Arabidopsis thaliana: one gene and its partner. The protein of the gene in region 1 interacts with the protein of each later gene in a pairwise test. Each region holds a gene or a part of one and is shown on either strand. Other genes may lie near its edges.

Region 1 (4,627 bases):
TCCTGTACTGTGAATCAATTTGATGGTTTGGTTAATCAAAATGTCTTTCCTAGGGTTACACACATCTAAATATGTCACCAATCACTATTCATAATAGAGCTCGAAATCAATGAGTTTGAGGAAGTATACAAATCTTTAGAGAAAACTACACCAAACCAGAAAACGAAACTAAATCCGATCGTAAACGGTAAGAAAGTCACAATACGAAGTATGTTACACTGATTCTACTATAACGAGGCACCCATTACCAAGATTCGAATGCTACATTCGGTTTCAATGTTTGACAACAAAGAAAAACATACCACACAATTACAAATTCAAAAGCCAAGTAATCAGAAAAAAGTGCTTTTACTCAGCGCCAGATTTGTTAACTCCGATCCCAGTACACAAGAACATTTAGGTCGTCCTCAAAGGCGGTGACACCAATATCACTCCATCTCCTCTCACGAATAGAAACGGTACCGTTCGCTTCGTTGTCTGACAGAAGCAAGTTACATCAGCAGGAGAAGAACATATGATTCTACACTAGTCTAATGAGAAGTTAGCACATCACATTTGGAGCGCAAACAACAAAATTCAAGTTTGAGAAACTAAACAGAGTTACTATATTGGTAATGAACACTCTCTATGTAACCAGCACTATTAACTTCTACATGAATCAAGCTCTCCTTTAAACTCAAACAGAGACATAGACAATAGATACTGTGATAGCTGAAATATTTTGAACCCAAAAACGTTTATCTTACTACTAAAGCCTACATAGATTAATAAATCTTATTGAGCTAAGAGAATTACATACCCGAACAATCTCTTCATATGTCTCGTCGTCGATTTCTATAGTCGTAATAACCTCTTCAACATCACCCAGAATCATATTCAAATGCTGATCAAAAGCCTACACCACAAAAACAACAACAAAAGTGAGAGTCTTAGAATTTAACAAGATTATGAGGTTTTCTACGCCAATTAGCTCTCGCTGAGGCTTTCGAAACTGAAACTCAACAAAATGGGTCCAAATTTTGATATTTGTGAAAAGAATAAAAACTAGTGTTAAATTCAACGAATAAGGAATTCAAAAAGGAGCTCAAAATCGAAAAAGATCACATCTGGTTACTGGTTTCTGGAATCCGAGTGGTTAAGAACGTACGTGAAGCTTGCCGCGGAGTTCACGGTCAGATCGGAGCTTGACATAGATCCTCTCTTCGATACTCAACCGAATCAGATCGAGTGGCTCTCTAACGGTGGCGTCTTCCTCGACTGACATTTTCTGATTATAACTTCTCCGAGGGTTTTGAAATTGTAGTGCTCTCGGCGATATCTCTCTGACTGAGCTCAAGCAATCGCCACCGTTGGTTCCCTAAAAACTTCAAACCAACATCTTACGATTCGGCCTTTTACTATGTTTTTGGGCTCTCATATCGGCCCAATATGGTTAGCTCTTTTTTTTTTTTTCGTCGAAGTATTATGAAGATAATAAATCATCTAATGCAAATAAATCATGGTTAGTGGAACTTAACTATATTAAGTCCAATCACAAGGTATCAATTGGTCATTTCATTACACTAAATTTACTATAATCTTTATATTGGTTGTTTTAATCAAAAAGCCTTTTGTCATATACAGAGAGAGAAGAGAAACCTGAGGAAGCTGACCGGAGAAGACGAAAGCAAACTTTTTTCTGTGAGTTTTACTTCCTTTGACTCATCTCTCATATATTTACCGCTTTATTTTCTTCATCCCGATTCCTCTCTGCTTCATTCTCTCCTAAAGTTTCGATCTTTAATATTCCCCTAAGATCCAGTACTAATTTTGTTGACAAAGGTTTTGACTTTTTGAGATCTGTTTTCTCTTCGATTTCTCTGATGAATTAGGAAGAAATTTGATCCAAAAATGGATGGGAATTTTCCACAAGGAGGTGTAGTTCGTAGTGGAGCTTCATCTTATGGAGGATTTGATTTACAAGGTTCTATGAGAGTTCATCACCAAGACTCCATGAATCAGCAGCATCGACACAATCCTAATTCTAGACCACTTCATGAAGGTCTTCCCTTTACTATGGTTACAGGTCAAACCTGTGATCATCATCAGAATCAGAACATGTCTATGTCTGAGCAACAGAAAGCTGAAAGAGAGAAGAATTCAGTGAGTGATGATGATGAACCAAGTTTCACAGAGGAAGGTGGTGATGGTGTTCATAATGAAGCTAATAGATCAACTAAAGGATCTCCATGGCAACGAGTGAAATGGACTGATAAGATGGTGAAGTTGTTGATTACTGCTGTTTCTTATATAGGAGATGATTCGAGTATAGATAGTAGTAGTAGAAGAAAGTTTGCTGTTTTGCAGAAGAAAGGGAAGTGGAAATCTGTTTCTAAAGTTATGGCTGAGAGAGGTTATCATGTTTCGCCGCAGCAATGTGAGGATAAGTTCAATGATTTGAATAAACGGTATAAGAAGCTTAATGATATGCTTGGTAGAGGAACATCTTGTCAAGTTGTTGAGAATCCTGCGCTTTTGGATTCGATTGGTTACTTGAATGATAAAGAGAAGGATGATGTTAGGAAGATTATGAGTTCTAAACATCTTTTTTATGAAGAGATGTGTTCGTATCATAATGGGAATAGGTTGCATTTGCCTCATGACCTTGCTTTGCAGCGTTCGTTACAGTTGGCGCTTAGAAGCAGAGATGATCATGATAATGATGATTCTAGGAAACATCAAATGGAGGATCTTGATGATGAGGATCATGATGGTGATGGTGATGAACATGATGAGTATGAGGAGCAACATTATGCGTATGGAGATTGTAGGGTAAATCATTATGGAGGTGGTGGTGGTCCTTTGAAGAAGATAAGACCAAGCCTTAGCCATGAAGATGGAGATCATCCGAGTCATGTGAATTCTCTGGAGTGTAATAAAGTCTCTTTACCTCAAATACCGTTTTCTCAAGCTGATGTGAATCAAGGTGGGGCGGAGAGTGGAAGAGCAGGTTCGGTGCAGAAGCAGTGGATGGAGTCGCGGACTCTCCAGCTAGAAGAGCAGAAGCTTCAGATCCAAGTTGAATTGCTGGAATTGGAGAAACAGAGATTCAGGTGGCAGAGGTTTAGCAAGAAAAGGGATCAAGAACTCGAGAGAATGAGAATGGAGAATGAAAGGATGAAACTTGAGAATGATCGGATGGGATTGGAGTTGAAACAAAGGGAATTGGGTGTTGAATTATAACGGAATTGGCTTCACTTCTCTTGATTGGTATATAGCTTTGCTAAATGAAGTCTCATTTTCTGCTTTTGTAAGCTTGCTTTGATTGGAATGATCTCGAGACTTTGATGTGAGAGATCTTTGTGGTTGCATCAGTGATGAAGTTTGTGAATGTAGTGAGAAAGGAGTGGTTAATATAAGCAGCTCTCTAAGGTTTGTTTTAACTCTACTTCTCAGTACTCAACTGGTTAAGGTTATTTTCATTGTTCTGCTGTATTGTTTTCGACATCTTAATCCAATGTGTAACAAATATCTCATTGTTAAGCCAGTTTGAGAATGAGTTGTTGCTAACTATTTGCTTCTAAGAAGATTGAATACTTTTCGACATGGAACCTTAATACATATTTTCTATTGGACGTGGATCCAGATAACCTTTAGCAGTTTATACTTTGGATCACATCACATCTCCTTTAGTGGAAAATGAATCAGTTTGACGATATTGAGTTTTCCTGAAGAATCTTGAAGCTATATTCTAAAGGTTTCTTTCAGTTTGCAGTCACATGTTCTTCTTTTGTCTCTTTCAACATAAATGTAAAGATGTTTCTGACTAAAAAGCATGTTATGTTTGCCTGCTTTAGGTCCATCTCATGCTTGCGCTTCTTTTCAGTTTTTGTGTTTCATTTTTTGGCTGGTTAGTGATGAGAAGCTTCTTTCCTTTCTGTTTTTTTCAAATTAGAGTTTTCTGGATACTTATTAGTTACTAACAAAGAGAGGGCTTCTTCGATATTAACTTTTAAGTATCCAGAAAACTCTAAATTTGAAACAAACTCATATTTTTTGGTCTGCAGGTTATGTGTAAACGTCTTTGACTCGCTGCTTCATACACCTGTGCAATTAAAACCTTGAAAATTTTAATTTCCTAGCATGGAGAATATAAGAAGTCAATCAAGGCGTAGCATGAAAATTTTCATTTCCTGAGGTTGGAGCCGGAACCACAAGGGAAGGAACTCTAGTATCTGCCTTGGTGTTTATGCTTTGTTGCTTCAATACGCAAAAATGCACCAGAAGAAGAACTCTTTACACCGAGTATGTGATCCCCATTCACGCTGATAGCATATCAAGTCATGAGCAGCTGCAGTGCTGGAGACGTGTAACAATTGCATTGGTCAACAACTTACACCTGTTTGTAGCGAACCAACCACAAATCCAGCTTAGCTGGATAAGTCTGACCCTGCCAAGGTAGGAATTCTGTATCCACTCTCTGCATTTCAAGCTTTCACTATCTCTTTGAGCGGCTCCCACACCAAACTGACTTGCAAACTAAAGTAAACCTCAAAATAAAACAGAGCGTGTTATGGTTAGTAATCAAGTCTCTTCCAGAGGTGGTTTAAGTTTAACTATCATATACATTAAAAAAAAAAAAAAAAAC
Region 2 (4,458 bases), on another chromosome or scaffold:
TTCTATATTCTGCATAAATATGTAATATTTTTAGCATCTTTTTTTTTTTTTTTTTCTCATAAGTGTAATATTTTATTCATTTTATCATTACCAGTACAATGCTTGGTTATGAGAAAACCAAAATAAAGCCCAAGACATCCCACATATAAAGGCTCATACGACACAAAAGAAGAGATAAGCTATAGACGTGTCAGACCAATAATAATAAGCTAGGGACACGTGGAACGTCCACAACCTTCACTAGTCCTGGACAAAATATTCGTTCGATCCGCTTTAACTCAATATTCGATTTGATTTGATTCGAAAAATCCGAATATTCGTAAGATTTTGGAGCAAAGCAAATAGAAAAATGTAGTAATCGTAAAAACCGAAGCAAATAACAAATACTATTTTTTCTAAAGTCGGATATTCGCTTCGATCTATATATATATATATATATATATATCACAATATAGGTTGTGCATTTGTATATGTTGGGATTTGGGCTTGTATTTGTATCCTTTGGGCCTGTGTTTTTTTTGTGACACAGTTTTTATTAGAGAAGTGGAATTTTTTAAAATAAAATTGTTTTATTTTTTATATTTTATCCTAAAATTGTCGTTTTACTTTCCAATCCATCAAATATAAGAGCGACATTTCTGTTTCCTTTCTTCGACCTTTCACTATTTTTATCACTCAATTTGGTTACAGAATTTATAACCAGAAAATTTTCAGTTGCTCTCAATCTCACACTCGTAAGTCATAAGGTAAGAAATTTGAAATCTATGTTAAATAATTTATATAAAAAAATATTTGGATGTAGCAAAGCAAAGCGGATATCCGACAAATATCATACAAAAATCCGGATATTCGTATTTTCGGATATTTGGAAATTTTCGGATCAAAGCAAATAATAAAATTAAGTATTCGATTAAAACGAATCGAATAACAAATATCCCAAATTTTCCGGATATTCGCTTCGTGCCCAGGCCTAACCTCCACTGCACATGAGACTCAAGCCTGGTGAATCAGAAACGTCGTTGGAAAATCACCGGTCAACGAGACTTCTTTTTTATCACCAATTAAAAGTTACAGAACAAACATCAATCTCCTAATCTCATCCGATTGCAAGAATCACAAAGGATTCGGCAAAAATGGGTAAAAGAAATTAGAGAAAACTGAGTAGTTCAAACTTGTCTAACAATTAAATCTCTTGCAAGAACAACAAAGGCATATCTTAATTGCATAGGAAACGAGCTTTGACCTAACCTTAGTCGTGGAGAAATTGAAACTGTCTTAAACACAGTAGATCCAAACGAACCTAATTGTCGAGAACGCACACATCGCCGGAAAACTGTTGGAGCCAAAAAAAACAGAACCCAACGGTGAAGCCAATCAAAGCAGAAAGAAACTAAATCATGCGAAGAGAACACCTCTTCGGAACTGAAGATTCTGCCTGTCATAATGTTTCATCATCAAGATTTTAAAGCTACAAAACAAAAACAAATCCGAAGAAACCGAATTCAAAATTGCCCAAAAAGAAATCTAAATCCCGATCAACGGGAGATAATAGCCGGAAAAAATCCAGATAACGGAAACCGGAAGAAACCCGGACGGCGATTCTAAACTTACATCGGAAAAATCTTTCTCTGAAAAATACTATAGAGAGAAGAGAGAGACCTTCCTCCTTTTAGATCTTTCTTTAATTAAAAATTTAATTTTTATATTTTTAGCATCTAATCAGCCTCAAAAATATAAAATATCTTAGATTTTTCTCGAATAATAATAACGAATATATATATAATTCGAGCTCCACTTGCTCCAAATTTAAAATCATTGACGCTGAGGAGTGTCAAAACGCTTGACAAATGATCACACGTGTAAGCCTATGAGTGGTGGTCGATTTGACTGATGCACTATCAACACATACCTAAAGATATAGAGAGAGAAACGCATATCGTTGACTCTCCCCCTTTTTCACTCTCTTCATTTATTCTTCCCCTCATCATCATCATCATCTTCTTCTTTAACCAAAAACACAACTTACAAGAAAACTGTTGAATCTTTGTATTTATTTACATCTCCTTTGACCTTTAATAAGAATCTGAGTGGTTGGTCTCTGATTTGATGAGATGACTGTTGAGCTGATGATGAGCAGCTACAGCGGCGGCGGAGGAGGAGGTGATGGTTTTCCTGCAATCGCCGCGGCGGCGAAAATGGAAGATACCGCTTTGAGAGAAGCTGCTTCTGCAGGGATTCACGGTGTGGAGGAGTTTCTTAAACTGATCGGTCAAAGTCAACAACCAACGGAGAAGAGTCAGACGGAGATAACCGCGGTGACTGACGTCGCCGTTAACAGCTTCAAGAAGGTCATTTCTCTACTCGGTAGATCTAGAACCGGACACGCTAGATTCAGACGAGCTCCCGCGTCAACGCAAACGCCGTTTAAGCAAACGCCGGTGGTTGAGGAGGAGGTGGAGGTGGAGGAGAAGAAGCCAGAAACAAGCTCCGTGTTAACAAAACAGAAAACAGAGCAATATCACGGTGGTGGATCTGCGTTTAGAGTTTATTGTCCAACACCAATTCATCGTCGTCCTCCTCTATCACACAATAACAACAACAATCAGAATCAAACAAAGAACGGTTCGTCTTCTTCATCTCCTCCGATGCTCGCAAACGGAGCACCGTCAACGATAAACTTTGCGCCGTCACCACCAGTCTCAGCGACGAACTCATTCATGTCTTCTCATAGATGTGACACCGATAGTACTCACATGTCATCAGGATTCGAGTTCACTAACCCATCTCAGCTCTCTGGTTCGAGAGGTAAACCTCCTTTATCATCAGCTTCGTTGAAGAGAAGATGTAATTCATCTCCCTCAAGCCGTTGCCATTGCTCCAAGAAAAGGTTTTGATTCAACTTCTATTATTAAAAATTAATCTTATTTTAGATCTAAATCTTGAGATTTGATTAATAAAACGTTAATTATAATTTGTGTAAAAAAATCAGGAAATCAAGAGTAAAAAGAGTGATTAGAGTTCCAGCAGTAAGTAGCAAAATGGCTGATATACCATCAGATGAGTTTTCATGGAGAAAATATGGTCAAAAACCAATCAAAGGCTCTCCTCATCCTCGGTAATTATTTTTTACATTTTTTACCATCGATATATATACTCTACACATACATCACAATCACTCACTAGATTCAACACCAAAAATCAAATATTGGCTAGAAAATTAAGCAACTTGTGTATTGTCAATATTAGTACCAGAGAGATTGTCAATATTGTTTTTTTCTATATCGGTTGTACCAAACATGTTGTCTAGTAGTACAGTAGTGGGTTCAGTTTCACGCTCTTTTTGACTTGTTGTTTCCTATAGAATAAATTTGAAATAGAAAGCCGAGAGTTAAGTTGACTATTTCTTTTCTCATTAATTAATAAGAACTCGAACTAACTGGGGAGGACTCGGTGTAATGGTTATGACAGGGGATATTACAAGTGCAGCAGTGTAAGAGGTTGTCCGGCGCGTAAGCATGTGGAGCGTGCACTAGATGATGCGATGATGCTAATCGTGACGTACGAAGGAGACCACAACCATGCTTTGGTTCTCGAGACGACGACGATGAATCATGACAAAACTCTTTAGTTTCTCGAGTTTGAGGGGAACTGTCTGTGTGTGACCACTATCCAGATTAGTCAACGACAGAGTGGGCCCGCACTGCACTTTTTTATTCTTTTCTTTTTGAAAAGCTTTTGCTTTATCTTTCTTTTTGATTGGAGGAAATAGAGGGAGGGGAGATAAAGACGAGAGAGGAACGTTGTGGATCTTGATGGAAGTTGAATCATGTGAATGTCCTTTTCTGTTTATTTATTTCTAGGATAATATATATTTAGTGCACTATTTTTGTCAAATCTCTGATTCTTTTCTTACTTGCAGAACTATTTGAGTTTTTAGGGAAATTATCAGTTAATTTAGATTCAACTGACCATAATGCTATGCTGGTAATTGGAAAAAATTGCAATTCAAATTTCGTTAAACAAAAAAAAAAAGAACTATTTGTAGATTACATAGTCAAATCAACTTAACACACGTTTATAGAAACTAGAAAAGTTGTCGATCAAATAATAAGTAGCTCTAATAAGTATTTATTTCAGCATTAGTGAAAAACCTCAGATGCAATGTCGTTATCCTTTTAAGTGTGTTTTTTCCAACAAAGTTGACAATGTTTATGATTATGTTAACGGCTATAAATTCAAGTGTAAAGTACTTCAACATTTAGTAAAAAATTTAAAGCTTTACTACAAAATTTTGTTACCAAGAAAATCAGCTATTCATGCATCATTGCGTTATAACTCTTCAATATCACTTTTAAGTGATGTTTTAGAGACTTTTTTTAAAAAGATGTTTTAAAATTTTTTAGACCAATCATATTTTAGAGTATGTTATCTAATTAGTTAAAATTTGTTTAATTGTAT

Evidence for each region. Proteins that work in one complex are often made in the same cells at the same time.
Region 2: the proteins of AT1G21200 (region 1) and WRKY7 interact in a two-hybrid assay, tested with the Arabidopsis thaliana proteins (one large-scale study listed by BioGRID).

The regions. Positions count from the first base shown.
Region 1 is NC_003070.9:7,419,593-7,424,219, forward strand, and holds AT1G21200 (sequence-specific DNA binding transcription factor), read left to right. Parts: upstream 1-1,555; 5' UTR 1,556-1,680; intron 1,681-1,871; 5' UTR 1,872-1,890; coding exon 1,891-3,222; 3' UTR 3,223-3,411; exon of another isoform or gene 3,412-3,804; intron 3,805-3,925; exon of another isoform or gene 3,926-4,019; intron 4,020-4,046; 3' UTR 4,047-4,081; downstream 4,082-4,627. Other genes in the region: LSM3A (Small nuclear ribonucleoprotein family protein), read right to left, coding at 397-477, 800-895, 1,148-1,264.
Region 2 is NC_003075.7:12,569,819-12,574,276, forward strand, and holds WRKY7 (WRKY DNA-binding protein 7), read left to right. Parts: upstream 1-1,719; 5' UTR 1,720-2,111; coding exon 2,112-2,887; intron 2,888-2,989; coding exon 2,990-3,115; coding exon of another isoform or gene 3,116-3,119; exon of another isoform or gene 3,120-3,468; coding exon 3,469-3,628; 3' UTR 3,629-3,955; downstream 3,956-4,458. UniProt on the Arabidopsis thaliana protein: Transcription factor. Interacts specifically with the W box (5'-(T)TGAC[CT]-3'), a frequently occurring elicitor-responsive cis-acting element.